Linked DNA regions of Drosophila melanogaster. The protein of the gene in region 2 interacts with the protein of the main gene of each other region in a pairwise test. Each region holds a gene or a part of one and is shown on either strand. Other genes may lie near its edges.

What was found. The genes of interacting proteins can lie anywhere in the genome.
Region 1: the proteins of CG15546 (region 2) and CG12301 interact in a two-hybrid assay, tested with the Drosophila melanogaster proteins (one large-scale study listed by BioGRID).

The regions. Positions count from the first base shown.
Region 1 is NT_037436.4:15,578,985-15,582,738, forward strand, and holds the start of CG12301 (uncharacterized protein), read left to right. Parts: upstream 1-1,815; 5' UTR 1,816-1,905; coding exon 1,906-2,310; intron 2,311-2,369; coding exon 2,370-3,754. Other genes in the region: mrn (marionette), read right to left, coding at 1-1,168, 1,224-1,522.
Region 2 is NT_033777.3:30,874,168-30,877,921, forward strand, and holds CG15546 (uncharacterized protein), read right to left. Parts: upstream 2,020-3,754; 5' UTR 1,968-2,019; coding exon 735-1,967; 3' UTR 198-734; downstream 1-197.

The DNA of each region.
Region 1 (3,754 bases), on a different chromosome or scaffold from region 2:
ACGCTTGACATCGTCGTGGCCATTCTTTTGCACCACCATTGTGCGAGTTCGCTCATTTTGCCACACCAGCATGTGGATCGACTGGGCGTAGTCTCGTAGCGTTACGAAATCTGTATGCGAGAGGAACTGATTGTACAGCACGCCTTCGGTGTAGGTGAAGCGATTTCGCTCTAATTCCCACAGCTTAATTTGATCAACGACTGTGGGTGGCAGGCAGGATTTAGAGTGAATGGCTGACTCGACCATGCGCATATTGGGATGCGCATACTGCTCCAGATACGAGACAATCTGCTCTGCCGTGATACCGCCACGCAACGCCTGGCGCACTGAATCGCGGGTTAGCACGCCCACGACGAGATTGGGAAAGCGGTAGAGAAGCTCCGTGAACAGACCTAACACGGCTACCTGGAGCGGAGAATCAGTGTAGGCATACACTCGGTAGTTCGTCTCCACCACAATGTAGCCACAGTCCTGAGTGGCCTCCTCATCCATGGCCACAGATGCAGTCGCAGCCGCCTCCTTGCTTGTCACATTCAGAGCCAAACGTGTGGGATAGAAGCGTCCCTCCTTACGCTTACGTTGGAAGACCAGTCCAAACTCCCGTAGATGCTGCAGGAATGTCAGCATCTGACTGTTCATGCCCTCGGAACTGTAATCCCTGCCCAGCGTTGAAAAACTGAGCTGGAACAACATGGACAAGCATTCCGGCAGGCTGATTCCTCTTTCTTCGCACGTGTCCAGGTACTGTAGCATAAAATGCCACACCTGAGCTCGCGTGTCCAGCAGCAGGAACTGAAAGCCCTGCCGGGTTATTGTGATACCGTCTCGTTCATCACGTTTCATGAGATTGGCGTGCAGCAGAATCCGAACGGCGTCCGGACTAATGGCCTCCGCATCGGTGCCATTGCGATTTCCGGTGCCGACCATGTAGTGCAACACGCAACGCCAGCGGGACATGGCGTATGTATCCAGAAAAGCAATGTCCCTGGGCTTCGAGTCCTTATCCAGCGTGTTGGTCATAGGCCAAGGTTTTCCGCCGCCCAGCAGCACCTGGCGTACGCTTTTCTTGAAGGTGGGCGAGAGCTCCCACGCAGAAAGGCCACCCGGAATGGCTGTGACCCGCCAGACGTTCAAAGCCGTCAGGCAGCTGGTTGCCTCGGCTTGCTCCCTGCAAAAGTAATGCATTGCAATGATATTGTTTATCCAATTGGATACAGTCATACTTGGCACAACGTTGGGCACCCCATGATGTGACCACCGCTTGTGGCACAGGCTGATCCACGAACAGTATCCTTATGATAAACTGCCGGGCTATCTCTGGAAGCTCCCGAAAAACGGCCAAACAAATGGGCGGATAGTTGTACAGCTTCTCCAGCGACTCTGGCGTTTGGCGGGTGCGCAGATACTCCTGAAAGTCCTTACACTCCAAGTTCGCAGGACCCTGCCCCAAGGGCGACAGGACGGCGTTTCCACTTCCCCCGGCAGCCGAATGCCGACCACTACCGGATTTCGTGTCGGCCATGACGATTCGAATGTCGAATTCGTAAACAAAATATTTTCATCCCGTTGTCATCGATAGCCGGTCTTTCGTGGGGGGACAATCGATAGTAATCATCAAGGGCGTTACGAAGGGGGTTTTCGCTGAGTTAAAAGTACATTTATTGTTAAAAAAAAATCAATTGATTTTTGATGCATAGATATATGTATTGAGTAGTAAATGTTATTATATTTAAGTTAATTTTTAAAAGAAGGCAGCTCCATTTTCCACACTCATGCTATCGAGCACAGGTAGAAATTGTGATGGGCCGCAAAACTTATCGATAACTCTTCAGCTGTTATTCTGCACACGTGCTGCGCGAAGTATTTTTGTATTGTTATTTGATTTTAAATATTTTCCTGACAAAAATGAGTGACGACGAGGAGCACTACGAACCAAAGGCACACAAGAAGCTGCTGCAGGCCATCGGCAGTCTGGGCAAGGTGCAGCACATCCAGAAGTCCACGCGCGACGAGCGGCAGTCGCTCCAGGATGAGTTCCAGCTGGTAAAAGGTGTTTCGTCAGCGGAAACGGATCATGCCCCCAGAGCCGTGGGTCTGAACGATCTGGTAGACATCCTACGCACCTCCACCAAGCACAGTCAGACGGGCAAGAAGCTCAAGAACATCCATGGCAGCAAAAAGGTGCTACAGAAGCCGCTGGAGAAACCAGCTGCGGATCGAATTAAACGGACCATTGGCTACGAGGGAGTTACCAAGAAACTCGGTCGTTGGGATGCTGTGGTGGCTCAACAGAGATCTGCGGAGACGCAGGTGAATGAATGCCAATGCTAACAGTGACATACACATATAATCTCCAAAACTTATTACAGATCTTCCCCCTACCATCTGAAACGGTTTACGTAAATACTGCGGCAAATGCCAGGCCTCTAAACACCCGGGTCAAGTCCAATCTTGCTCAAGAACTCGAGGCTAACAACCGTAAACTACGGGAACTGCGCAAAGCGCAAATTGGGGATACCACGGATGAAAAGGAGCTGGCCAAGCAAGAGCGGCTTTTACTACAAAAGAAGCTTACCAGGGACGAACTATTTGCCCGTCGCAAGGAGCTAGCTTACCTGAAGATGCGCGAGTCTCAAAAGTCAGCAAAGGCGCGCATGCAAAACAAAATCAAATCGAAAAAGTTCCACAAGCTGCAGAAGAGACAAAAAATGTTGGAGCAGATGAAGGAGTTCGAGTTGCTGCAGAAAACCGATCCAGAGGCGGCGCTGGAAAAGCTTAATGCCCTGGAAAAGAGTCGAGTGCAGGAGCGTGCCAGCCTGCGGCACAAGAACACCGGTACTTGGGCGAAGAATCTGCAGATACGGGCCAAGTACGACAAGGATGTGCGAAAGGATCTGGCCGAGCAGTTGGCTGTTAGCAGGGAACTGACCCAGAAAAAGCAGGTGTCAGACAGCGAAGATGAAACCACCAAGAAGAGAGTTTTACCCGAGGAGGAGGATAATGACTACGATCCCTTTAATCCTTGGACAAAAAGAAAAGCTACAGAGCAAACGGAAAATGGAAATGGTGAAAGTGAGGGTTCCAATTGGCGGCAATATTGGACAAAAAGGAATAAAAACGAAAAGTTACTGGAGGAGCATCGTAGGGATTTGGAAGGAGTCCAGGATAATGACGAGCAGGAGGAGAAAGAAACTATTCGGAAACCATTAATAGAAGTAAAACCTGCTAAGAAGAAACTTAAGAAATCGAAAGTTAAGATAGAAAATGGCTGGGAGGTGGAAGATATTTGCCCAACTGATCAGAAAGAAGCCAAGGCAAGCCCGAATTCAAAAGCCATTGATGACATTTTTGAGAAACACGAGGATCATATCAGAGCCAAACTAAATAAGAAAATGGAGAAATTGAGGGAACGGATAAACAAACTTAAAGAAGTTCCTGTCAAGGGAAAGAAGGCGAAAAAGAAGGACGTCTTGCAAAACCTAAAAAGTCTGGCTTTAAAAAAGACAAAGCAACAGATAGAGATTGACGAGCCCCTTAACTACGAGGAGGATAAAAATTCACAGAATAATATCCCTGCCCACGTTGAAGGTAACACAGAAAGCACGGAAATTCCAGCTGTGGATACCATAGATCCCAACAAGGTGACAACTTTGGTGTTTACCCAAAAGAAGGGCAACTCGGGAGGCTTTAACGATGCTCTAATAGACGATGAAGCAGCTGAATACGACGAGGAAGACGCCGCTGCTGAACGCCA
Region 2 (3,754 bases):
TGGCAAGCCTTTCCAAGTTCAATGTGCGCCTGCTTTCGATTACCTCGATATAAATATATAACAACTTGAACTTCACTCTCTTTCATTATTAGTTTGAAAACTGAATACCAAACGAATTGATTAAGTGCCCATGTATATTTTTCTGTGCCTATAGTAGGTTTTTAAGGCTTAATTGAATATTTCCCGATTCGAAATTTATTTGGTTATATATGTATTAGTTTATTAGCATATCTCTATCATTATAATTATAGATTTTTCTGCGTTGGCTTTAAAAGCTAAATTAATACATGATCGTGGTGCACAACAACAGCATCGCCGACAAATTAGTCAAGATCAAGGTTTGTTTATGTATGTATATTCAACCGCTCGAAAACAACAAAAAAGCCGACTCATTCATTCGCATGTGGGTGAATTCAGAGTTTGTATGGGATCGTAAAAGTAAAAACTAAAAAAAGGTTGAGCTGCTGCTGTCGCATCAACTTGCTGCTGATGTGGCTGTTGTGCTGCAGATGTTGTTGCTGCTTCTGTTGCAGTCGCTGTTGGCTTTCAATTAGCAATGCAGATTGTTGCTGTCGACTTACTACATAGAGAAATATTTGTAATACTATTTCATCCTAATGATTGTCAAGCAGATATTCTTGTATGATCTTCTTCATCGCTTCAGTTATATGTTTTTGCACTTGCATTTCTCACTGTGTAGCTGCACTAATCACTGAACACGCGAACTGGAGCCCTCAGTCCGGCAGACCCACGCTCACTCTCTGCCCCGCTGAGCTGCGACGCGCCTGCGCAGTGGGCGGCGACTGCGACGCCGTACCGCCCACCATCAAAGCGTCGCCGCTGAAGCAGAGGCTGCTGCGCAGGTGTTTGCGAGGGTCAGAGGGCACGGGGGGATCTTCGTCGATAGTGTGTGTGTTACCCACTCCGGATTGGGTCTGTGGCATTTTTGGAAAGATTTTCCTACCATTGCCGTTGGCCTGATAATTATTATTATTATTTAATGGCTTGCTCCGACTAGTTTCCATAAAAGAGCGTTGATGTTGCTGCTGCTGCTGCTGCTGGCGACTTCCTGTCGGCATATTTGGCTGCTGACGGTAGCGAGTTTCGTAGGTGGGCTCCTCACGATCCTCGCGATCCTCCCGATCATCGCGATCCACCCGATCATCGTAGTAGGCGTACTCGGCAGCCTCCTCGTTGTAGGTCACATGCTTTTTGGGCAGTCCGGGACTTCGGGTTAGTTGCAATCTTCGGACTCGACTTTCCAGATGGTCGTACGGGTCCTGATCCTGTGACGTTTGCTTCAGTATCCTTTTGGGCAGGGGCAGTGGGCGTGGCCGCCGCCACTCGGGACTGTCGTTCAGGGGTTTCTTGGTGACCTTGGGCTCCAGTTCCACGCTGAAACTGCGCACATTTCTTTTGACCTGCAGCTTGGGACTGTTCTTGGAATTCAGTTCCACTTCGCGCTTGTCATTCAAGTCCATTTGTGGTCTCCTGGCGTTATTTTGAGTTAGGTTATCTGCTTCGTTTACATAATCGTAGAACTGGATCTTGGAGCTGTAAGCCTGCTGGCGACGGCTGCTGGTGTCCTCAGCTTTGTTATCCGATTCCTGCGGTCTCACTTCGGTTAGTTTTGGGGTTATTTCTCTGCGTAGACCCCTTGCCAATGAAGGTTTATTTCCAGGATTAGACTGCAGATTATCATAGAACTGTATGGAAGAACTGGCAAACTCCTTGTGAAACATTCGCCGTGTGTCCACTTCGTCGGATACATTCTGATTGGAAGTAATCCTTTCCACAGGCCTCTCCAGCTGCTGGCTGTTTCTCCTCTTTGCTCGGGTTTCCACCGCGGAATCCGCTCGGGAATCGTCTGGCCAGAAGAAGTGCGACTCCTGGCGATTGCACACCTTCACCGCCTGGCGCTCCACCATTTTGGGCGGCAAGCCCGTGTAGAATTTTCCGTTCAGCATGGTCGCCCAATCTTCGCCGGATTGGTGGTCCACTCGACTGATCGGAGACTGGTCCGCAAACCGACTGACACAAAAAGAATCCGTCGGAGGCCGGAGAGCACATAAAATGGCTGAGATGTTGGCGTCGCCATCGGCGTTGTCATTTGTCGTAGGCGTTCAGTTTCGTTTGCTCAGGTGATCAACCAGGCCCCAGACTAATTTGCGATTCTTGCGAAAAATAACTCGAGAAGTGAGTAAAAACGAGAGTTTCTGTGTTTATAAACTTTTGGATACTCTACGAATTGGAAATATACAGCATTTAATTATATTTCCATATTCGATTTCTTCGAAAGCAAACAGTGCGCTGCATTCACTGCAGGCAGTTTGGAAAATGACACACTTGTTGGTTTTGGTTTTTAGCCTCTCGCAAGATTTTTGAAAATACATTATACCCTTTTGCAAATTCTTCGAGTGACTTATTAACAACAAACACAAACAGCATCGAGGCAAAAATTTATTTGCTGCCAGTGCAGCGTGGACGTTGGCAGCGAAGTCGACGGCGCAGCGGCAGAGACGAGTTTCCATCTAAGGTCAAACCAAATCGCGGCATTTTTCACTTTTGGAACGAAAAGTTGATTTTCGTGAGCTCAGCGTTGACCAAATGTTTTGGTTTTTACTTCGCTTTTGGCCTGTCCGTTCGGACTAAAAAGCCAGAATGCCGCCAAAGTTGGCCGACCAAGAATAATAAACGACAACAGATGCCAATTATTGGGTGCTTTAATGGCTTCAACTTCAACGTACTTTTGGCCGCAAGTGAGTGTCACTTGAATGATGCTCAGTATGGCCGACACTGCGTATACGTAACATTACATGGCTGAAAGTTGAGAGGAGCTCAATACTCTGACACAATGTCGTGAACAATGCACTTTGAAAAGGAAAAGCGAAACACCAGTAAAACATACCAGTGTTTATTTAATTAAATTAAATTTATTTTCTCTTGATCTTTACATGGTTTGCCATTGGAATGGAGTGGGGAGATGTGTGGGGAGCTTTGCTGATGGACACTACTACTGCTACTTATGTTTTGCTTCCATTAATTCATTTTATTTGGTTTACCTCCCAGGCTGCGTTTTAGTCGAAGACGTATTTGGAGTACGTAATAAGCTTAATGTACAAACAATGCCATAGAAACACATACAATATCATACACGTTCGGTTTGCATACGGGTCTATGTGGGGATACTACTCTGGAGGGTCTGAAATTGCGAAACGGCGAAGTGGCATATCTATATATCTCAGTGTGGTGGCTGCTCATGTAGATGGGTACCATATACGTTCTGCGGGGGGATATGTTAGGTTGCTTAGACTACGTTTGATTTTGAGTTGACATCGCTGACACGGGGATCTATGCTTTATAACCTGACATTTACAAACTTTGTTTTTTTCTTTGTTTTTAGTTTTTAGTTTTGCTGGGTAGTGTTGTTAAACATATACTTAGGGTTGCTCTCGGCTGCTTAAGACTTTATTTACAATTCGTATTTATAGCTGATTGGCCAGTCAGTTAGCCTTTCTCTTCGATGGTGCTTACTGCTGCTGCTGTTGCTGTTGCGGCTGCTGCTGCTGCTGCTGGGGGGGCAGCAGTTGCATCGGCGACATTACTATTATGTTGGTGGCTCCTCCGGCTGCGTGGCCATAGTCCAGCGGCTTCTGCATCGCCTCCACATCCAGATCCGGGGCACGGGTAATCACGCAGTACTGGTTCCCATTGTACGTGACAATGGGCATGCCGTGCTGCATGTTGCTGGCGT